Linked DNA regions of Tamandua tetradactyla. The protein of the gene in region 2 purifies or fractionates together with the protein of the main gene of each other region. This does not show direct contact. Links are inferred from orthologs where the notes say so. Each region holds a gene or a part of one and is shown on either strand. Other genes may lie near its edges.

Evidence for each region. Proteins that work in one complex are often made in the same cells at the same time.
Region 1: the proteins of protein argonaute-1 (region 2) and STUB1 purify together in Homo sapiens (affinity purification with mass spectrometry; 3 studies listed by BioGRID and IntAct, with this or other methods). This does not show direct contact. The link is inferred for Tamandua tetradactyla from reciprocal best matches to the Homo sapiens genes AGO1 and STUB1.
Region 3: the proteins of protein argonaute-1 (region 2) and FKBP5 purify together in Homo sapiens (affinity purification with mass spectrometry; 6 studies listed by BioGRID and IntAct, with this or other methods). This does not show direct contact. The link is inferred for Tamandua tetradactyla from reciprocal best matches to the Homo sapiens genes AGO1 and FKBP5.

What each region holds. Positions count from the first base shown.
Region 1 is NC_135349.1:56,698,557-56,706,258, reverse strand, and holds STUB1 (E3 ubiquitin-protein ligase CHIP), read left to right. Parts: upstream 1-4,642; 5' UTR 4,643-4,736; coding exon 4,737-4,889; intron 4,890-5,428; coding exon 5,429-5,627; intron 5,628-5,716; coding exon 5,717-5,882; intron 5,883-6,082; coding exon 6,083-6,170; intron 6,171-6,229; exon of another isoform or gene 6,230-6,257; coding exon 6,258-6,314; exon of another isoform or gene 6,315-6,411; coding exon 6,412-6,741; 3' UTR 6,742-7,006; downstream 7,007-7,702. Other genes in the region: RHBDL1 (rhomboid-related protein 1), read left to right, coding at 1,607-1,645, 1,956-2,117, 2,263-2,487, 2,557-2,705, 2,817-2,929, 2,997-3,097, 3,172-3,232, 3,306-3,577; JMJD8 (jmjC domain-containing protein 8), read right to left, coding at 7,044-7,124, 7,199-7,333, 7,426-7,493, 7,579-7,698. UniProt on the Homo sapiens protein: E3 ubiquitin-protein ligase which targets misfolded chaperone substrates towards proteasomal degradation.
Region 2 is NC_135328.1:189,483,068-189,491,245, reverse strand, and holds the start of protein argonaute-1, read left to right. Parts: upstream 1-5,027; 5' UTR 5,028-5,235; coding exon 5,236-5,260; intron 5,261-8,178.
Region 3 is NC_135331.1:92,296,733-92,304,047, reverse strand, and holds the start of FKBP5 (peptidyl-prolyl cis-trans isomerase FKBP5), read left to right. Parts: upstream 1-4,119; 5' UTR 4,120-4,309; intron 4,310-4,736; exon of another isoform or gene 4,737-4,820; intron 4,821-7,315. UniProt on the Homo sapiens protein: Immunophilin protein with PPIase and co-chaperone activities. Component of unligated steroid receptors heterocomplexes through interaction with heat-shock protein 90 (HSP90).

The sequences.
Region 1 (7,702 bases), on a different chromosome or scaffold from region 2:
ATGAGCTTGAAAACACATTTAATTTGGCATGGGCTGGAAACCCGTTGCTTCTGCCTGTTTCCTCCAGCCCCGGGAACCCCCCCCCCCCAAGGGCCCAGGCACAGGACCTGAAGCCTGTCTGTCAGGGGGGCCTGCAGCCTCAAATCACCCTGCTGACCCCCACCCTATCGGGGCTGGCTGTGCCCTGCCTCCCCTCCTGGATTCTCTGTGGGCAGCTGGCCTGGCTGAGCCACATCATGAGCCTGTGGGCTGGAGGTCTGGCCAGCGATGGCTGGGACATGGGGCCGTTCTGTTCATGCTGGCACCATCAGTATTGGTCAAGCTGGTTCCTGGCCAGGGGCTGTCCATTCCTCCTACAGGACAGTCACAATCCCCTGGCTGAGGGGAGGGCTGGCTTAGGGTAGGGGGGCCCATCAGCTTCGCAGAGCAGCCCCGTTGGGTGTTCCTGGCCCAAGCCAAGTGCCATTATCTGCTGGCCCCGGTGCTTGGGGGCTGGCACCCAGAACCCCACGGCAGAGGGAGGGGGAGGAGCCAGGGCTGCCTCTGCACCCCAGGGCCCTTCCTTGGCCCTGTCCGTGCCCTCCTGTGCTGGGCAGACCCCTGAGCCAGCCAAGTGCTGTGACCCGCTGGGGAGGGCAGCTGCCGTGTGGGGCCACTCAGGGCTGGTCCTGGAGGGTCTTGACTGTGACCCTTGCACTGCTGGCCTCCCTGGGCCTGCTTCTGGGTGAGCAGGAAGCTGCATCTGGCCTGATGTTCCTGCCCAGGGCTCAGCAGCCTGGAGCAGTGGCCCCAGTGGGAGTGAGCCCTGAGCTCCGACTGGCCTGTGGAGGGGTTGCTATGGCTGCCCATCCCCTTGGTCTCTGTCACACTACTACCCGGGTCTGTCCGCCTGGCCTTCAGAAGTTCTGGCTGCAGCCCTGCCTACCTGGGACTCTGTCCTGCTGGCCCAGACCTGCCTAAGAACCCTGGGCCAGGCCCTGGTGTTCCCTGGGGCTCAGCAGGTTGGCCGTCCAGCACCTGTGGCAAGGACGCTACTGAGCCCACGATGGGGCAGGCTGGGCTGGCTGAGCAGGGCCCCGCGGCCTCCCCTCCCCTGGCCCGCGTGGGTGGCAGCAGTGGCCTTCCCAGGCATAGGGTGGGGGTACCCAGCAGGGGCTGGTCTAGCCAGTGAGCAAATGAGCCAGAGGGAGTGGGAAGCGCGGATGCCTGAGGAGTGGTGGCCAGGAAGGCTGCCTGCTGAAGATGACTGCACTCCGAGGCTGGGGCTCCCTGAGATGGGGAGGATGGACACTGGGCAGGTGCAGCACGGGAGGAGACTAGGGCGCAGCAACCTGAGTCAATCTCAGCCGCTGAATGCGGGAGGCGAAGCTGCAACCCGGCTCCGCGGTGGGGCGGGCGGCGCGCGGGAGCCGCGTGCATGCGGGGCGGTGCCTCTGCGCGCCGGCGGGCGGCGTGTGCAGCACGGAGCGGGCGGGGCGGTGGCTCCGTGACGCGGCCCCCAGCGCGGCGGCGCCGAGCTGAGCAGGCGGAGCGGGCCGGCCGGGGCGGAGCGGAGACCGCAGAGCAGTCCGGCCCGGCCCGCGGCCGCCCGCCCCGGCCCGGCTCTATGGACAGGAGCTCGCTGCTGCAGCTCATCCAGGAGCAGGTGCGTGGGAAAGGGGGCAGGGGCGACGCCCACCCCGCGAGGCCCTCCCGGCGGCTGCGGCGGGACTCCCCCGAGAGCGTCAAGCCCCCAGCCCCTGCACCCCGCCGTCCCCTTCCCGCGCGACCTTGGCCCCTGCGTTTGCGCCCCCAGAAGAGGATGAGTGGGAGACCCACCCCTCCCGAGACAGGGTGGAGCTGAGGCAGGCAGTCCCTGGAGCCCCCCGAGCCCGAGGACTGCTCGGAACCTGGCCCACCCCTGTGGTGTGGGGGGCCGGGCTGCCCTCAGGCCTTGGTCACCCCTCTCCCTCCAGCAACTGGACCCCGAGAACACAGGCTTCATTGGTGCTGATACCTTCGCTGGCCTGGTGCACAGCCATGAGCTGCCCCTGGACCCCTCCAAACTGGACATGCTGGTGGCCCTGGCCCAGAGCAACGAGCAGGGCCAGGTGTGCTACCAGGAGCTGGTGGATCTGGTCAGTGCCAGGCGGGGCGGGCAGCGGGGGCTGCGGGGGTGGGCAGGGGTGCCTTCCTCCCCACCCTTCCTGCTGGGGAGGTCTTCTGGGCAGGGAGGTGCTACGGGAGGGGCACCATGGCCCACGCCCAGGCCCCGCGCCCCAGATCAGCAGCAAGCGCTCCAGCAGCTTCAAGCGCGCCATGGCCAACGGGCAGCGGGCCCTGCCCCGGGATGGGCTGCTGGACGAGCCGGGCCTGGGCGTCTACAAACGCTTCGTGCGCTACGTGGCCTACGAGATCCTGCCCTGCGAGGTGGACCGCCGCTGGTACTTCTACCGGCACCGCAGCTGCCCGCCCCCCGTGTTCATGGCCTCTGTCACGCTCGCCCAGGTGAGCCGCGCCCCTAGGCCGCGAGCTGCCCGCACCCGGCATGCCCTAACCTTCGGGCCCGCACCCCAGATTGTCGTGTTTCTGTGCTACGGGGCCCGCCTCAACAAGTGGGTGCTGCAGACCTACCACCCCGAGTACATGAAGAGCCCCCTCGTGTACCACCCCGGGCACCGCGCGCGCGCCTGGCGCTTTCTCACGTACATGTTCATGCACGTCGGGTGAGTGGGACCCGCGGGGGCGTCGGCACCGCCGAGCGGGGGTGGGGGGCGGGGACAACCGAGAGTGCCGCGCCCCTCACACCCTTGCGTGCTTCTGCCCCGCGCGGCCAGGCTGGAGCAGCTGGGCTTCAACGCGCTGCTGCAGCTGATGATCGGGGTGCCGCTGGAGATGGTGCACGGGCTGCTGCGCATCAGCCTCCTCTACCTGGCGGGCGTGCTGGCAGGTGAGGCGGGGGGACGGGCGCACCCCACCCGCCCGCGGGCCGCCCTCACGGCCTCTCCTGCCCGCAGGCTCCCTGACCGTCTCCATCACCGACATGCGGGCCCCCGTGGTAGGGGGCTCCGGCGGTGTCTACGCGCTCTGCTCGGCGCACCTGGCCAACGTTGTCATGGTAAGGGGGCGCCTGGGGGCCGGGAAGGGGCCGCGGGGCCGGGCCTGATGCCGTCTCTATGCTTGCCCCGGCAGAACTGGGCGGGCATGCGGTGTCCCTACAAGCTGCTGAGGATGGTGCTGGCGCTGGTGTGCAGTGAGTAGGGGGCTGCCGGGCGGGCGGGCCCCCCACCCGGGGCGCCTCCCCAGCGCTGCGCTTGCCTCCGCAGTGAGTTCCGAGGTGGGCCGGGCCGTGTGGCTGCGCTTCTCCCCGCCGCTGCCCGCCTCGGGCCCGCAGCCCAGCTTCATGGCGCACCTGGCAGGCGCGGTGGTGGGCGTGAGCATGGGGCTGACCATCCTGCGCAGCTACGAGGAGCGCCTGCGGGACCAGTGCGGCTGGTGGGTGGTGCTGCTTGCCTACGGCACCTTCCTGCTCTTCGCCGTTTTCTGGAACGTCTTCGCCTATGACCTCCTAGGCGCCCACGTCCCCCCGCCGCCCTGACGTCGCGGCCCCGGGCAGGCGCGGGGGCAGTGCGCCCACCGCCCCGAGCGTGCGCCCCGAAGCGGTGCCCTCCTGCTGGCGGGCCGCCGAGCGCTGCAGCCTGGGGCGGGAGGCCCCCGAGGAGGCCCCGGCCCGGCCCCACCCCGGGACCTGCAGACTGAGCCTTTTTGGAGAACGAATAAATATTCTACACGGCACCGGGTGGCGCTGCCGGGGCTGGGGGACTCGTCCGGCGCCCACCGCCAAGCGGCTGGAGCCGGGGGCGGGCAGCGGGGCGGTGCGGCCGCGGTTTCCAGGCTCCGGCTGGGAGGGGCAGAAGGAACCCGGGCGCGCCTGCTCCCCTCCGCCGGCACCGCGAAGGCCGCCCCTGCTCCAAGCCCTCGGCCCTCGAACAGCCGGTGACGAGGGCTGCCCACGGCCGCTTCGCCCTCGCCGCGCCACGGCCTCCGTGACCGGCGGGCACGAGGGCCGGAAGGTGGCGGCGCCGAGTTCGGGGTCACCATGGAGCACGAGCGGCAGCCGGGCCGGGGTCGCATGTGGGGCACTGGGGAGGCGAGGCTGCACCCCCGCTGCCCTTTCCCTCGACCCCGGCCGCTCCGGTGCGCCTCGGGTCACGCGCTTGTTGGCCGGCCTCGAGGACCGCGGCGAATTCTCCGGATGCCTGGACGGGATCACGGGAGCCGGGCGGCGGGGTGCGCCCCGCCTGCCACCCCATCCCGCCCGCAGGAGGGCGCGCAGCGAGTCTGCGCGCCGGGGCGGGGCTTCGCGGGGGGAGGGTCCAATCGGGGGGCGGGGCTCCGATGGGAGGCGGGGTCGACTCCGAGGAGCCTCGGAAGCGCGGCTCCGTGCACGCGTGCAGCCCACGAGCCTCGAGAAAAAGTACTCGTGGCGTCAGGCGGGGGTCGGGCAGCCCAGCCGCCTCAGCCTCGGGGCCTCAGGCGACCCTCGCGGCCGCCACGTTCTCCTCGGCGGCAGCTACCGCGTAGCCCCTCCCCGTCGCGAGGCGCGTCGCGCACGCGCGGCCCCGCCCCCGCGCGGCCGGAAGTTCCGGTGGCGGCTCCGTAGACCTGGCCCGAGTGGATCCCGGGCTTCGGCGGGGCCTCGGGCGGCGGGTGCAGGGCGGGCCGGGCGCGGAGCCCAGGCCGGGCCGCGCGGCGCCATGAAGGGCAAGGAGGAGAAGGAGAGCGGCGCGCGGCTGGGCGGCGGAAGCCCTGAGAAGAGCCCGAGCGCGCAGGAGCTCAAGGAGCAGGGCAACCGGCTGTTTGTGGGCCGCAAGTACCCGGAGGCAGCGGCCTGCTACGGCCGCGCCATCGTGAGTGCGCCGGGGCCCGGACGGGATCGAGGTCGGGATGGGGGCGAGGGGCGGGGCTCCCGGCTCCACCCCGCATCCAGCACCATCCCCTAGCCGGCCTCCCAGCCGGTCCCGCCGAGGATCTCGGCTCCTACCTGCGGGACATGGGCCCCGAGCACTAGGTAAGCCTCTTGTTGTCATTGGGCAGAGGCCGGGGCTGTCGAGACCGGCGCTCGTGGGTTAGGCTTCAGGGTACCTGGGGCCGGCTGGTTTGGAAGCTGGGAACTCTTACCCCGTGGGTCCCTATAGGTTTGGAAACTCAGTTACCAAATCAGTTTGGGTCAAACCAGGATAGGCTGTCAAGCTTCAGGCCAGACTCCACCCTCAGCAGGTCCTGACCCAACAGCTTTGGCAGCTTAGAAGCTTCAAGCTTTTTTCACCCAGTTATGGACCCTATAGCTGGGACAGAACCAGGGGCAGCAGGGCATCAGCTTTTTGGGGCAGAGGTCCCAGACTGAGCTCACTCCCTCATGCCAGTTGACCCAGCTCTTGGTCCCCAGACACGGAACCCCCTGGTGGCTGTGTATTACACCAACCGGGCCCTGTGCTACCTGAAGATGCAGCAGCTTGAGCAGGCATTGGCTGACTGCCGTCGCGCTCTGGAGCTGGATGGGCAGTCTGTGAAGGCGCACTTCTTCCTGGGTCAGTGCCAGCTGGAGATGGAGAGCTATGACGAAGCCATTGCAAATTTGCAGCGAGGTGGGCCAACAGGCTGGCTGCAAGGGCGCCTCAGTCTGGGACTGGGTGGGTGGGTGGCCAGAAGGTGACTTGCACCTCCACTCCCCCAGCGTACAATCTGGCCAAGGAGCAGCGGCTCAACTTTGGGGATGATATCCCCAGTGCTCTGCGCATTGCCAAGAAGAAGCGCTGGAACAGCATGGAAGAGCGGCGCGTCCATCAAGAGAACGAGCTGCACTCATACCTGACACGCCTCATCATGGCTGAGCGTGAGAGGTGGGTGGGGCAGGCCCTCCTCTAGCCCATCACCCACTTTTGAGGTTAACTGAGTCACAAACAGAAATGTTTATGGGAGATCAGTGCTGGCGAGCAGAAAGCAAAGGAGACAAGGTCTGGGCTATAACCCTGAGGCTGGAGTTGTGGTCTCACTTCTCTTGCCCAGACCCATCTCTGACTAGTTCCTGGTCGACCCCCAGGGAACTGGAAGAATGTCGGCGGAGCCACGAGGGTGATGAGGATGATGGCCACATCCGGGCCCAGCAGGCCTGCATCGAGGCCAAGCACGTGAGCGTGCCACCAGCCCATGAGGCCCGCACAGGGGGAAGGGAGCTGCAGTGTCCGGCCATTGCACAGCTTTGTGTTTATTTGCAGGACAAATACTTGGCAGACATGGACGAGCTCTTCTCGCAGGTGGATGAGAAGAGAAAGGTGAGGCTTGAGGCTGCTCTGTGCCCTGGGGCCTGCAGGTGGCAGGGGATGGAACAGTGTCCCCTCCCCAGGCCCTGATCCCTCCCGTGTGCCACAGAAGCGTGATATCCCTGACTACCTGTGTGGCAAGATCAGCTTCGAGCTGATGCGGGAGCCATGCATCACACCAAGTGGCATCACCTATGACCGCAAGGACATCGAGGAGCACCTGCAGGTGAGGCCTGGCAGGGCAGCAGGGTTGGAGCCAACAGTTTGCCCAGGGGGGCCAGCTGAGCACCCTTGGGCCCTCTTGTCACTGCAGCGTGTGGGCCACTTTGATCCTGTGACCCGGAGCCCCCTGACCCAGGAACAGCTCATCCCCAACCTGGCCATGAAGGAAGTCATCGATGCATTTGTCTCCGAGAACGGCTGGGTGGAGGATTACTGAGGGAGGACCCACCAAGGGCCACTCCCCGCACTCACTGCACCCTAGCCCAGGACCCGGGTCCCGGTCTCTGTACATAGTTTGGGTGTCTGGATCCCAGTCCCTCACCTGCCTCCTCCGCCATTCGTTCTGCTGTTGGCTCTGGACTGTTTGCGCTCAGCTAGGGTGTAAGCCTCCCCCATCTCCCTCAGGCCCAAAACAGCAGGCAAGGGTTGGGTGGGCTGGGGCCACCACCGCCACTGCCCTGGAATAAAGTCTGTGAGCACTACGTGGGCACATGCTGGCTGTGGGAGGCTTGGCAGGTGCTATCCAAGGAAAGTAGAGATGAAGACGCTGGTGTCAAGATTGAGGGTGGCATGCCACCACCGATCAGGGAAATACAGCACCTGGTACACAGGAGGAGGGGCCAGGATGAGTCAGGGCCTCAGCCTGGCCTGGCCCCCTCAGGGCAACCACAGACCTCGCCAGGGCGGATGGTACACTCCAGGGGCCGTTCCAAGGGCGCCAGGGCTGGATACACATCCTGGAGCCAGGCCAGTGTGGTTTTGTTGGGGTGGAACTCTGGTGTCTTCTCTGGGGGATACAGGAACCAGCGCTGGGGTTGAAGGTTGCGAAATCATTCCTGAGCTCTGGTGGCCAGTGAGCTCCCAACCTCAGTCCCCGCCACCACCCCCATCCCACGCTGACCTTACGACCATAGATGACTTCCGAGTACCCGGGCCCATGCCAGTGGAAGGGCACCCCAGAGCCAGCTCCTGTGGAGTGAATCAGTAGCAGTTAATGACCATGCTGACCCCCCCCCCCAATGCATAGACCCCTTAGTCTCAAAGGACCACTCACCTGCGATTCCAAAGCTGTAAGCAGGAGTGGTGCCCAGCAAACCAAAAGGGGGTGGGGAGTAATGGCGGAAGAGAGCTGCCCATTCAGTGAAGTTGTTGTCCCCAAAGAAGTACAGGGTATCTGC
Region 2 (8,178 bases):
GTTATATGTTATTCTTTTTGTTGTTGTTTGGGTACATGGGCCAGGAAACAAATATGCTATTCTTTTAGTGTCATATAGTATAGTAATTAAGAGTGTCAACTCTGGAACCTTACTGCTTGGGTTCAGGGTCTGCCTCTGCCAGTTGCAAGCCATGTGACCTTGGGCAAGTTATTTATCCCCTCTATGTCTCTGTTTTTACAGTACCTGCCTACTGGTTATTCACCTATTTCTTCTCACCCCATGCCCACTCATCTGTTCTATTATGCCTCAGGGTTTTTGTGAGGATTGCATAAGTTAATATGCATTAATTAGAACAGTGCCTGGAACACAGTAAGCTTGTTATAATGTTAATTATTGCTATTATAATTTTTCTTAGTCTGTTGTAGAAATCTATGTGCTAGTATTTTACCTGTGATTTTTACATCCATATTCCTGAGATCTCTTTTTCGTAATATAATCATGATAAAAGATCCAACTCTTTATCAGCCATTATGAACAAATTAAGAAAACTCCCCTTCCCTCTTTGTTCTAGAATTGTCATATAGCATGGAACAGAATGATCTCTTTCAGGAATATTTGTAAATAATGGTGAACCTTTTGGGCGAGACGTTCTTTGGTCATTTTCGATAATTTTTTCCATGTCCTCTTTAGTTGTTCCTCAGTTTTTGCTTTCGTATCCTTGCTTAGCATTTTACTCACGGTTTTAAATTCATTAGCCTATAATTACATACATAATTCCCTTATATTGTTAAACTCTGTAATAAGTTTTAAAATGTGGATGTGATGGATATGTTTGCTATCATGATTATGGTAATAGTTTCACAGTCTTATACATAGGGCAGAACTGATCAGTTTGTACACTTAATATATGTGCAGTTTATTGTAAATCAATTCTACCTCAATTTAAAAAGTAATTTAAAAAATCTTACCAGTTTTATGTATTTTCAAAGAACTAGCTAATATTTACTAATTCCATTATTCATGATTTTTGATTTTTAAAACTATTTCGTAGAATATGTAAGAAATATGTTTACCGTAGATAAAAGGGATGATGCGCTGTTAATGATTCATTTCCTAATAATAGGGTATACAATTTGTTTTTTATCTATTAATTATGTTAATTTCATTGTTACCAGGAAGTTTTTTTAATATTAAAAAGAGGAAAATATAGATGGGGATGCACATTTTTTTAGGCTGTTCTTGAAGTTTTGGAGCCAGGAAACTCTGGGTGTGGAGAAGGTATATAGATGGAAAGACCTGGGCTCTGGCCAACACAGCAGTGGCCCTTTGATGTGGGTTAGCATTAGACTGACATGTGAGAATTGATTTGAAAACAGGGGATCCAACAGATTTCTGGGAAGGTACATTAAGTATTGCTGGAAGAAGTTTGTCAGCATAAACATCAAAATGTTTTCTGGATTTCCCCCTACCCTGTAGGCGTTGCAGCTGTGGCTGCTGTGTCCCAGCTGTGTCACGGGTGGCAGAGAGGAAGAGGCGCCGTCTACACTGAGTGTTCTTGGACCATGAGTCCCCAGAATGCTGGCAGCCTCACAGCTCCAGCCCAAAAAAAAAAAAAAGTTTTCTGGATTTCCCTTATGTCTACCACTTTGTCAAGCCAGGTGTGAAATTCCTGATAATGGAGATACTCTTCAGGAAGACCTTTATGGGCCAGGGTCAGGCTTGACTCCACTAGCCACTCTGGAGATGAGTGAGAATAGTGGCCAGTGCCTTTCCTCAATGAGGAAAGGACATTCATATGAGGCTGGACATTCACAGCAGGTGATTTAAACCCTTCTTTTTGGATGCTGAGCTCCCAGCTCAGTTAAACCAGGGCAAGGGTCTTGCTATTTCTGGGATTTTTTTTTTCCCTGCAAATAGCTTTACTTTTTACATTTGGTTCATGGCTTGTTAGAGGGCTGCAAGGTCGTTGGTTTAAAAAAATGCCTCCCATGTAAACTATTTAGCCCTGTGAATTATTATATTCCTAGTTAACTAATTTTCATTAAATTTTTGTCTTTGAATCATTGAAAAAAAAAAAGATGCCTCCAGGCTGGAGGGAGGGGCTCAGGCAGAAGCCTGGATGCCCAAGGAATACTGAGGGGTCCTCTGGGTTCCAGAGGCTCTTGGTCATGTTTGACAGTGAGCCTTTCAAAGAGATCATCACCCAGCCTGGACTGTGGGCCTGCCAGCCTGCAGAAAGTGGTTAGGTGGTTGCTCATCTTCTTGATGAGTTTCACTTCATCATCTAGGAAATGTCTCTCCAGGAAGTCACAGAAATTAGTATCTCTGTTGGCAGAACCCAGGGCATACAGATCTATAAGGATTTGGTTCAGGTTCTTCTCCAGGGTCATGGTGACTTCCATGGCATCTAGTGTTTTACTCCACCACTTCTACACATCCTGGAAGAGGGTGTGGCTGCTGTGCTGGCTTTGTATCTTCAAGAGATGCTGGGTACCCTCCTGCTACTCTTTCACCATTTTGTGGAAGAAGTGGTCCGTGCCTTTTAGGGCTGCAATCTTCTCAGTCAAAATAGAAGCCCAGAAAGAGATAGGTGTAGGAGGCCCCTACATGCAGGTTGACTAGGCAGTTGACGGAAGACTTCATTTCAACAGAATAGATCTCAGGATCTGGGAACTCATGGTTAGTTGGCAATGAGGACCCAAAAAATGGTGTTAGCTGTTTGTGGAAGCAGGGAATGGCTGAGAAGATGGTCCTTGAGCTTGCAGCTGTAGAAGTTGGAGAGGGGTCTGATGCTGAGGAGGGATGGGGATAGTCCCTGGGCGTGTTCTGTCCAAGTACTGTGAAAACATGGGGCAGATCTATGGGATGGCCAGGTAGGCTGTTGTAAGGAGTTTTTGATGCAATCTGTTTGGTTCAGGTCAACCCATATTTACTAATTACTTTAGGCACAGCTTGTGCTATACACTGAAGAGGACAGATATGCATCTGATTTGGTCCCTGCCCTTTAGGAGCTTATGCTTAGAGTGTGGGAGGCAGACAATGATTATGATAGTAGCTAACATTTTGCTTGCATCTTCCAACCCGTATTCTGAAGTCTTTATATGTATTCGCTCATTCAATCTTCACAGCAGCCCAGTGAGATAGGTACTTTTACAGAAGAAGAAATTGAGGCACAGGGAAGTTAAGTGATTTGTCCAATGTTACACAGCTTGTAAATGGCAGGACCAGGAGCGAAATCAAGAAAGTGTGGCTCTAAAGTTTTTGTTCTTAACCATTAGTATATACTACAGAATAGTAGTTTTCAAAAGGTAATCACAGACCAACAACATCAGCCTTACCTGGAAACTTGCACATCCTTGGGACCCACTTCAGTCTTACTGTATTAGAAACACTGGAGGTGGGATTCAGCAATCAGTGTTTAAACAAGCCCTCCAGGTAATTTTGATGCTTGTTTCAGAATCTCTGCTGGAGAGAAGCAAGGCATGCTCTGATGAATGTCAGAAATTAATCTCATTGGTAGGCACTATATATAGTCCATCTCTTAAGTTCTCAGACCTCTGCAAAGAATCTAGTGTAAAAGTAGCACCAAAAAATACATTTTGAATGAATATATGGGAGAATGATTTTTGAGCTGGATCTCATACCACCTATCAGCAGTAGACTTTTTGGGAGGAAAGGTCCCAGAAGGTGTATGGCTAGCAAGGAATTTGTTTTGATACTTCTGGCAAGATATGATGAGTCTGCACCAGCAAGAGGGTCCTCAGGATGGCAGGAGAATCAAGTGAGAGCAGTAGAGAAGGTGAACATGTCAGGACTTGGTAAACAGCTGAATGGGGGAAAGAAACAAGAGAAAGAGAGAGAGAAAAAAAACTGTCCTTTCTAGGATGAAGTTGCCACTCACTGAGACAAGAAACACAGGTCAAGCACGTTTGGGTGGCAGAAGACAAAGTTCCATTTTGAATTCCTTAAATTGGAAGTATTGGTAGGATATTCAAGTGGAGCTGTCCAGCAGACACTTGGATGTATGAGTCTGAGTCATGGCTAGAGATGGAGGTTTGGGAGGAGAGTTGAGCCAAAAGAGTCGATGAGACCCTCAAGGGAAGAGTGGAGAGTGGAATGAGAAGAGAGCTGGATTTGGAAGCACAGTGAACACTGTTACTAAGTGAGGCAAAAGAAAGAGGAGGCTCTTGAAGGAATCTGGAAAGGAATTAGGCAATAGGGGACTTCAGAAAATGTAGAAGCCAAGGAGAAGGATCAAAAAGAAATAGGCACAGTGTCAGATACTGCAGAGAAATAAAATAAGAGTTGTAAATTATCATTGGATTTCGACGCAAAAAGTCATTTAGGTGACGTTGGGAAGGGGCGGGGGCAGAAGCAAATTGGCAGAGTTCAGAAGAGCTATAGATGAGAAAGTGGAGGCAGGTGCCTCCTGAATCCCGCAGATAGAGCTCTATAGCCGTACTTAAGTTGAGACTGTGAGGCAGGGTCTCTTTCGTATTAGTGGTCTCAGCGTCCAGCACACGGCCTGGAGGAGAGGGTGGCGTCAATGAGTTCAGTGACTAGGGACGAAGAAAGACTTCGCGGAGACAGTCATTTTCCAGCCAAGGCTTGAAGGATGAGGATGATTGGGAGGAGAGGTGGGAGGCAGGGCTCCTGGATGGTGGGGCGTTCAAGTGCTTGAGGGGGGACTGGGTGTATGTGGGGTCCCTGTAATGTGCTTGTGGCTCTGTATGAAGGAAGGGCTGTGTGTAGGTTTGGAAGGTACTGTTTGAGGAAGAGGTATGGGGCTAGAGGTTGCTGCGGGGATGCCTCCCTCCTTTCTCTTCTACCCACCCCTACCCCATTTATGCCGCTGCGCGGTTCCGCGATTCCTGTACCGGAGCCCTCCTGCCGGGCTGCATAGCGACGGGTGACCGCCAGGGGCCGCTGCCTCGGGTCCCCCGTGCTCCCGCCCCCCCCCCGGTGCCCCCGCCCCTCTCCATTGGCCTTTGTTGCCGTCGGAGCGCCCCGCTTGACTCGTTCCCGTCCGCCCCCTGGGCCTGGCGGCTGCGCCTGCGCACTGACAGCTGGCCGGGTGCTCGCAGTGGGAGCTGCTGCAGGCTCCGCCGCGGCGGAGGCAACGGAGGCTGCGGGGGCGGAGGCACGAGCGGCCGGGCTTGGGGGGGGATCCGAGCCCGGCCCGGGAGCCCGAGCTGTGAGAGTGCAGGGTACTTAGGCCCCTCACGCTGGACTCCACAGTCTCCGGGCCGCCTGACCTCTGCACGGGTATATGGGATGGAAGCGGGACCCTCGGGAGCAGGTAAGGGCCCCTGGGAGTGGGGGGCGATGCATGCTCCAAGGACCAGGGGGCTCCTGCGTGAGGAGTGGGGTTTCCGAGCAAGGGGAGCGTTCTTTAGTGAGGAGAGGGACTCTCATGGGATAGGGGGCCCAGTTTGAAGGGGGCTATGTGCAGTTCCGGGGAAGAACCTTGTGAAGAAAGCTCCGAGATAGGGGGCCGTTTGTAAAAGGAGGCTGTATGCAGTCCTGGTTATGGGAAGTAATCTGTGAGAAGGGCCTGAAGGTACGGAAGGACTCATGGAAATCCGGGGAGGCCTAGGGAGAGGCCCTGCAGGTGGCAGAGGGCGGGCTCCAGGTATTCAGGAGAGGAGGGGGGAACACACAGATGGGCCCGGAGCTGCCGCATGCGGGGGGCGGGGATTCAGCTGGCCTGGGTTGGGCTAGTGTCTCTTGGGAAAAGGCTCCCGAGCTGGGCTTTGAGCTCCGCCCCAGGCGGGCTTGACGCGGGGGCGAGGGTCAGGGGGCGGTGGGTGGGGACCCAGCCACGGGATTCCCCCGGTGAGTCTGGGGAACCAAAGCGGAGGCGCGGGAGCATGCGCAGAGATGGCAGCTGGAAGGGGCTGCCTGATATGGGGGCGTGGCTGCCTGAGGCACCCCACCCACCCCACCCCACTCCACCTAGTTCTGGTTTGGTTAGGAAAAAGGAGCACGGGTTGATGGGGTGCATCTCTAACGTTATGTAGGCAGAGGACAAATGGAAATAGTCCTCTCTTAATCTTAGGGTCTTTTTGCACTTGGCCCCTCGCTCTCAGTTTTCCAACAGTGATTTGGGGGAAAGTGCCAATGTCCCTTTCTTTGCCACTGGTGTGAGAAAAGACCAGGACTGAGACTGTGTTTCAGGGAAGAGGGATGGGGCGGGTTCTCCTTGAAGATAGGCCTTAGAAAGATTTTAATTACAGAGAAACTATGACTAGGACCAGGTATACCTGGAAGGGGTTGTCTGCATTGTGAATGAGTTTCTGGACCAAAATTGAGTAGAATAGGAGTTTTAATACAGGGATAATGATCTTTCCATTGAAATGTCTCTTGAAGTGATTGCCTGATCTCTTCCTATACTGCAATATTTTCATGACTTCTAACCACTACTGGGTATCTTTGGATCTGTAGTCTTTCCTTCTTTTTCCATTTCCCAGAAACTGTCAGGACCATGTCATTGGACCCAAGGTTGCCCAGCTAGCCTATGACCACAAACACGTTGTTTAGGGTGGTTTAGTTTTTAGCCTGTACCCTGGTGTGCTGAGTCCCAGGTGATAGCTCTAACTTCTCCTTATTCACAGGCACTCGGGAGAAAGGGATATAAGAACAGAGAGAAACCGAGACAGGGCTTTCCCAAGAAGCCTGGAGTCCCCAGGATGGGCTGCTGTGTGCTGGCACCTTCTGTGTCCTAGGTCTCTTACCTGTGATGGGAGGATGAGCAGTCTGGACCCGGGAATCCTTTAGGATTCACTTCCTTCCCATCTAGAGATGGGAATAGGATTTCTATTTGGAAAAGGAACCTCATTATGTTTCTGGTGCAAGGATCTTTGTCTTTTACCCCTTACTCCTTCAAGGAAATAGCTTCTGTCAACTAACTCAAGTCTTGTATTCAGTGGTCTATAAGCAGTTGGTGACTGCTAAAGTATGGAAATAGAGTACAGGGAGCAAATGACATCAGTAGAAACTACTTTCTCCTTCCCTCAGGCCCCTCTTCCCATCTGAGGAGTGCCCCTGGTCTTCTAGGCTGGATCCCATTTGTGACCACTTTTGGACTAGAAAAAGGGATGGGTCACAGAGGTCCAAATGGATTTCTGGAAGCTAGCACCACATCAGACTGCTGGTAAATTCCTAATTGACTTTGGAGTGACTAAAAATCTTTTTTTTTGTTTGTTAACAGAAAATAAGATTCTAGGAAAGGGGGTAGATCCTGGTGTCTCGAGTCTGTGGTAGCCTTCAGAAGAGCCTAGTGGAACAGGCTTTGCCTCATCAACTGGTGTAAATGAAAGTTAGTCTGAAAGCTTTGGCTGGAAGGACCCTATAACTGCTTCCTCCCCACCAGAGAATTTTCTTGGGATTTGAAGTCTTGTCCTGAGGAGGCTCAAAAACACAATACACAAAGGCTTTGTTACTGGCCTCACTGGGCTTATCCCCAGGTATGCCTACTGTGTGTTCCAAGCATATCTATTGAACCGGATGCTCCCTGAGGGCAGAAGCACTGATTTATCTGTGGAACCAGTGGATGTGCCTGGCATAGGCCCTAACACAGAACACGTTTGTTAATTGAATTGAATCATGCTCAAGTGTGAACATATATGGTTAATCTTATATGTGGTTATATATTCATATGTGGACACATCCTTTTTGGATTTGTTTACCTGCCAACTTATCTAGCCTTGAGTTTGTATCTTTTGAATAGGTAGTCTGAATAGGAAGTATGTGGGACTCTGAACTGCAGGGAAAGATTCCCTGAGCCAAGGCTTTCAGCTCTGTTACTTTTCTTTCTCTGGGCTAGTTGGGGTTGGGGGAGGGGGAGTGTCCTTTTCAGGGACCCTCCCTCCTTGTTTCTGTCTGCAGGGAAGGGCCCAGCCCCTTTTCCCCAAGGCCCAAGCTTTGTCCTCTGAGCTGGGGCCCTCATCTGCATCACAAAGTGGCCGTCTGTCCCTGTCTGGGTCTGAAGGGAAGTGTCTCCCTCTTTCAGACTAAACGCTGGGGGTGGGGTGAGGGGGATATTGTACAGCTATAAGGCGTGCAGGGGGATGGGATAGGAGAGAGGTTCCCGCCTTCTCCTGCCTTCCTGAGTTCAGAGATAGAGGGAGGTGAGGGATCTCCTGTTTTCCCGAATCCTCCTTTGAGTGGATGGTGTTCTGAGACTAAATTTGGTGTGTAATACTATTTCTGGGGTAG
Region 3 (7,315 bases), on a different chromosome or scaffold from region 2:
TTAATGTCAGTTATTTGTCCACATCCTCAAGCATGTTTTACTCATCTCCCACCGTCCTGCAGAGCGCGAATCTAGGTTCTGTATTACCGCCGTACATTGCTGACAGTTAAAGCCTCCTTTATCTTAAAACATCTCTTTAGGGTGTTGAGCATCTGCGTTCCCACACCCAGCAACAGGCAGAGCCGGGTGGGTCGCAGTTTGGAATTCGTATGAGAAAGCACTCAATGTCCCTTCCGTAGTGACATTCTAGAATCCTGTCCTTTCCCTAAGGCACTGAAAGTGCTGCCTTGGCTACATAGCCCAGGAGGCCGCCACCTCTAATAGTTTTTTAATGGATTCCTTAGGATTTTCCTATATACAAGATCATGTCATCTGCAAAGAGTTTTAGTTCTCCCTCTCCGATCTGGATGCCTCTTATTTGTTTTTCTTGCCTAATTGCCCTGGCTAGAACTTCCAGTACAGCGTTGAATAGAAGTGATGAGAATGGAATCCTTGTCTTGTTCCTGATCTCACGGAGAAAATATCCAGTCTTTCTCCATCAAGTGTGATGTGACTGCAGATTTTTCATAGATGTCCTTTATCAAGATGAAGATTTAGGCTGCCTGTTTTAGGAAATAAAGCTTTATTAGAACACAGCCATGCCATTTGCTTATGTTTTGTTTATAGCTGCTTTATGCTATTACGACAGAAGTTGTGTAGTTGTGACAGAAATCAAATGGTCTGTAAGTCTAAAATATCTGGCCCTTTAGGAGAAGTCTGTTGACATCTGTTTTAAGCCCTCACATTTTGGGATAGTTTGCCATGCAGCAATATATAACTAAAACAACTCCCAAGATTTTAGACTGTGTCTCCAAAGGGCTGTACCACTGGGTAAGGATGAACTCTAAAAAAACAAACCTTCCCACAAATTATAGCCCAGTTTGAGTGATCTGGGAGGCTTAGAAAATCAGAAGCCTTGAAATTGGGTTAAGGTGATCCTAGATTGCTAGTACCCCAGATGCCTGGCAGAAGCAAATGGAAATTCTTTCCAGAGGAAGATTTTAACATCATTACCTCAAATGATTTTTCAAATACAATGTTCAAAGAAATAACCAGGTACATGAAGAGACATGTAGGAAGAGCCAGCAGTAAAAAGTGGTAACAGAAACAGATCTGTAAGGAGTCCAGATTGGTATTATCAGACACAGAATGTAAAACAACTAACTTACTATGTGTAAGGAGAGAAAAGCCAAGTTTGAAAATTGTAGCAGGGAACTAAAAGGTCTGAGAAGTGACATAGCAGATTTGAAAACAAATTAAACTGAAATTCTAGAACTAAAAAACAGCATAACCAAGTTTAAGAGCTCAGTGGATGGGTTTAAGAGTAGATTTGTTTTTAAAAAGCTGAAGAGAGAGCAAATGTGCTGAAAAATTGTGAAGACACTTCACAGAACAAAGCAGGGAAGAAAAAAAGACAGAAAATACAAAAGAAAGGGCTGTCATGGGAAGGTGTAATATCCTTCTCCAGAAGGATAGAAGAAAAGAGACAGAAACAATATTTGCACAGGCAGCAGCTGAGAATTTTTTTAAAGCTGGTGAAAAGCTGCTCCAAAGCTGGCAGGCAACCATGAAATAACAACTGCCCATTCCTTAAGGTGAGCTGGCTCTTAGAAAGGTACACCTCCATATACCAAGCTGCCTTGGGAAGATTCTGAAACCAACATGGATGTAGCTGTACAGGAGAAGAAATAGGGGTTGGGTGTGCTGAGTTTAAATACAAGCTCTCTCACTTTGCGGCTGTGCCACCTGGAGAAGGTGGCCAAACTTTAACTTTCTCAACTAGTAAATTGGACTAGTAATACTGGCCTACCCTACATTGCCCTTGTGAGAATCAAATGACATATAGCACGTGAGCAAACCTAGCGAATGCCTAGAGCTTTAAAAATGAGATGTGGTTTGAGTAGTAGCAGGCTGGCTATACATATGCTTGGGGGCACTAACAGTGACAGGGGCACTGTTGGGAACAGCTACATAATTTGCAGGGTCCAGTGCAAAATGAAAATGTGGGGCTTCTTGTTGAAAAGATGATTAAGAGTTTCGCGATGGCAACGGTAGAGCATTAAACCAAGCACAGAGCCCTGCTAAGTGTGTATTCCCAGGCAACTGTCTAGGTCACACACCTATGAAGCTTGCCAGCCCTGGTGACAGCTCCGCAAAGAACGGCTCCGTGTGTTGGGAAAGGGCTACCCATCCCTCATTCAGGTTTCTGCAGCCATAGACCATGTCATAGTTGAATTAAAACTGAAGGGCAGCAATTTTTAAGGGAAATGCAAGCACATGTGCTTCCAAATGCCGAAGATGAGGGTAAGTACAGCCACGGGAGTGGTTTTCTGAGGGAGTAGGTGGGGCCAGCCAAGCTGCCATCAGAACTGTGGAACTGACTGTTCCCCACAGACTCTGGCCGAGAAAAAAAAGAGAAAAAAAAAGGCTGCAGCTGTATCTACAGGGCCTGCTGTTGTTTGCTGCGGTGTGTTACAACACAGCCTGGCAGCCTCCCGGGCCTTTCTGTCTTCCTCCTGGAAGAGCCTGGTCCCAGGGCATGTGACTCAGCCACACAGCCCTGGAGATTGGTCCACATGGCTCCTCACTGTTCCCTCCACTACTAGGCTTTTCCAGGTCTTGCTTGGAAGTCCCTTTACTTCCTCTCTCACACTCGTCTGTCTGGCAAACACCTACTCCACCTTTCAAGACTCAGCTCCAGTCCTCAGTAAAGACTTCCCTGTTTCCCCCAGGGAACCCTGTCTCCTCCCACTTTGGGGTCCTTCACAAAGCCCCTGTGACATGAAGAGCACTGACATGTTATGTGGATGTCATTGTGCCCTAGGCTGAAGCCCCCAAGGGCAGGGCTAATGTCTTCTCACTTCCGTTTGCTCTGCACATACACAGTGCTTAATACTTACTGTTATTATGCACATAAGATGCCTAGTAAGTTGGTGTTAGTATGTAGAGCAGTTTTAATAAACATTGTCTTGCTGAATTAAGGCATGAACAAATTGTCCTGATTGTCTCCTGGTAGTTGGGAGAAGCTGGTACTTAGTAGCTGGTAAGATGGGAAGCTGCTAACTACTGAGGATAGCTAAGTGACTAAGACAGGATCCTGTCTGTCGGTGCTGGAATTGCCATTTTTGAAGGGTCCACCTCTTGAAGGCAGGAACAACTACAATCTCAACCAGTGCGGTGACTTTCATAAATACGTGATGCCCATCATGATATGGTGGCTAGAGGGCTGATGTGGGGGCCAGGAGATGTGGATTCTAATCTGACTATGGGACTTTTAGATTCCAGAAGTAATTATTAGGTCTCATAGGTAACTAGTTTTGGCACTTCGGGTTTCTTTTTCCTCAAAAAACGAGACGGTTGAGTTGGGCATTTCCTAAGACCCAGGTGCAGCTGATAGATCTCAATGGGAGCCAGTCAGGTAACCATCTAATTGGATGGGGGTGGGCTGATGTTGAAGTTGAGTTTGTGCAGCAGATTTATGCTTTGTGGGGAGAAAACGGCCATTGTTAAGGCCTCTTCCTGTCTCAATCCTTCTTAATGGTCTGCGATCTCACGTTTGGAAGGTTGGAAGTCAAGGGAAAGTATGGTGTCCACAGTCACTGGGTGTCCAGAGAGAGGTACTGTGTGCTCAATTGGTTCTCAAGGTGGGATTTCCCCAGTCCAGGCATCTTCACCTTCTTAGTTCATTTCCTGGGGCAGACCTGGCTGGCTCCAGACACGGACAGCTTGGTCTGCCCCTCTCCATCCTCAGGGCACGACCGGTGGCCAGACAACGGCGACGGAGCTGTCAAAGAGATATGAAGTCAAGTAGCTTGTTTAGGTATCAGTTTCTTTGGAGTAAAGGAGAGCGTGAGGAGGTGTCGGGAAGCTTCCTCCCTCCCTTCTCTCAGGTCCCCACAAAGGACAAGAGCCAGACACGTGGGCTGGGGTGGGGGAGGCGGAGGTTACATTCAGGCGGTGATGCAAATGAAGGGGTGTGGCCTTATCTGCGCGGACAGCGCGCTGCCACCAATCCCGTCACGCGGGGCTACAGCCCGCGCGCCTTTTGGGGGCGGGCTGACAGCCCCGGGGCCCTATGGGAGGCGGGTCCTGCGGCCGGCGGGAGCGGGACGGCGTCGGGCGCTGCCCTGGGTTTTCAGGCCGGCTGGCGAGCGCTGCCAGTCTCTAGTGGCGGCGTTCGGTGTGCCGGCGGCCTGCTGGGCGGGCTGAGGGCGCTCTGCTCGCGGGTACGGCGGAGGGAGACGGAGACGACAGGCAACCGCGGCGACAGGTACCGGCGCCATGGCTGCAGGGATGGGGCGGGCGGCCGCGGCGCCCCGGGAGCCGAATTCCCTGCTTCTCGGTTCCGCCGCCTCCCCGCCCCCCTCGCGCGGCTCCCCTTCCCTGGAGCGGCTAGTCGGGCGGAGCGGGGTCGGGGAAGCTTGGAGGTGAGCGCTCCCGGGGCTCCTCCAGCCCCATTGCGGGTCCCTGGGCGGCTCCGCGTGCCCCTCGCCGCCCCGCCCGGGCCGCAGCCCCTGCTTCCCCGCAGACCGCGGGGCCGGTGTTCCCTCCGGGAGGCGCGCTGGTTGGGCGCCCGCCGCGCTCCCCCTCGCGGAGGCGAGGCAGGTTGCGCCTGCTTGTCCTCACCCGGCTTTTGTTTCCCGCCCGGGGTATCAGGTCCCGACTTCGGCGGGCGACCACCCCCGCCCCGACTCGCCCGAAGCCGGGCGGGCGGTTGACTGCGGAGCGCCGCAGCAGCCGCTCGGAGGAGGCGGCGGGATCCTCCGAGAGCCGGGCGGAGCGTAAGTAGCCGCCGCGGCGGGCGGGAGAGAAACTTCGCCTTCGCAGCCGGGGGCGGCGGGAACATTCGAGCCCGGGGTTGAGCAATGCTCTGGGACGGACGCGCGGCGGGCACTGTTGAGACTTCCTCACCTTGTTGGCCCCGTGGAGGGTGAGGATAACGGAGCGTCCTGGCCGCTGCCCTTCTCGCTTTCGGTTTCCGCTCTCCCGGCGCGGCGGCCCCGGGGTAGCCCACCCGGGGGCTTTGGATGGGCGCTCACCCCTCTTCAGCTGCGCCCTGGGAGAAGGGACTGGAGACAGCATCCCTCCTCCACCGCCACTTGTTGAAAGTGCCAGCGCAGCGCTGTGGCAACGAGCGATTTGTAGTAGTCTGGGATGAGACGAAAGCGCATTAAAAGTTGTTTTAGGATTCCCGATCCTATTCACACCCGGGACTAACGCCTTCTTCCTTTATTGATCATTTATAGGTGTCCCCGCGAAAGTATATGATTAAAAACCAGTACTGAAAAAAAAGACTCATGAGGGTCAGAATGTAGATTGCCTTTTTTAGATTGACGTTTTAATCTCTTTAAAAATCTGCAGATGTGCCGAAAGCATAGTTAAGGTCGGAGCTGTAAGCGGAGAATGAAGAACTCTAGATATCCCTCAGGGTGATTCGGGACAGCGTGTCCTCCCGGTGGCCGCCATTCGTAAATTCTGTATGAAGACGTTTGAGCTCGGGGATTTGGATTTAGTTTTTAGGAGTATGTTTTCCAGCGGAACAAGGCCTAACATTGAATGGGCGCTTCCTTGGCCTCTGTGAGGGCAGCTCTTATAGGAGTATTTATTTTTATTGTCTTCCCATTTTATTAGATTGTGGACAAGGAAAAAGTGAAGGCGTATGTTGGTTAAGTGTTTGTAGTAGTCTATGGGAATTCTGTGAGCAGCCCCTGCCCCCCATCTCGGATTTTTACTTTAGAGAATTCTAGTAACTGAATTTCTTCCTGTGTGAATCAAAACTCAAGGATAGATTTCAAAATATTCTTTGATGGGAAATTTTTATTCTGTCATGCTTTCACTTGTTTTCTTTTTATCATTCTTCCACCTAACCTCTACTTAGTCTACAATTATGGCCCTGATCAGTTTAGGACATCTATAGAAATACATTTTTTTAATGTGCGTTATTAATCCTCATCATTTGTGAGAAACACTTGATTTAGTTTAGTCGGTTTTTTCTTCTAATGTGTCTTCTTTGACATGTGTCCTGGGAATGATTTATATCTCAGAGATGTTAAATTTAACTTCTTAAGAGCAAAGTTATTAATTTTGATTTAGATTAATTATGCTACTTTACTTGTAATTATGTGAGAATTGTTCTTATTTACCTAACTGACCAATAACATCATGAATGAAAGGTGACCTCTTTAACCAGCAGATAATTTTTGACTATTTGAGATTTTCAAAAAATAAAGGAGATATTTGAAATGTTTTGTTTCTCTACAACAGCAGGCTTAAATGTTGTGAGATCTTTGTCTTCCAACTTTTGATGTTTCTGAATCTTTAGTTGTTTTAGTTATGGGAATTTGGGGTGGATTTCTTTTTTAAAAATGATTTTAATCAGTTCAACATAAAAACTTAAAATATTGCATTAGACAACGAATTAAATCTTCAATTTTCTATTTATTCCTGGATTAGAAGAGAGTACTTTTTGTTTTTTTTTTTAGTTTCCTAAACGTCTGAGCTTAGAATGAATTAGTCCAGAGAAGAAAGAACATTCTTTCCATGGCCATAGAAGCTATTGCTATTAAAAGCTGTGTTGGTTTTTTGGTGCATAGCGAGGGTAGATTGACTGAACAATTACTCCTCCTAATGTAGTATTTTTTTAAAAATATATATATAGATAATTGTAAGGAATCTTAATGAGACTGAGGTTCTTAATTGTTTTGAGTGGTTATATAATTGTTCTTTAAAGTGTATATGACTATATTACTTTAAATACTACTGTGGGTAATTAGAAGTTGAGGTCCTTATCATGTGATGAATGCCTAAATGTATCATATATAAATTAAAATTATATTTCATAGATTTATTTAAACAAAACCATAATTTAGATAATTTAAGTATAAAAGGACCTTTTAATTAAAAACCCATTTTAAAATCCAGGTTTTATGTCTTTTAATTACTGATTTTTGTTCACTTTAAGTTGTGGTAGACCATATCATAAAATTATCAACCACATTTCAGTTTCAAAATTAACGTAAATTGCATTCTCACATCTACACAATAAGCATTTGTTTTTAAGTCAGTTATCCTTATATGTCTCCTTTTGAATTTGAGTGGGTAGATATTTTTAAAATAATTACAACTACAAAGAAACCAGAGACATATTAAAACAGCTAAGTTAGAAGATAAATTAAAGGACACTTTCGTAGACATTAATAGTCCTTTATTTAACTGTAATATACATGTTATACCTAGCATTACGAATATTTTCTCTGTGTCCTTAATGTAAGTTTTC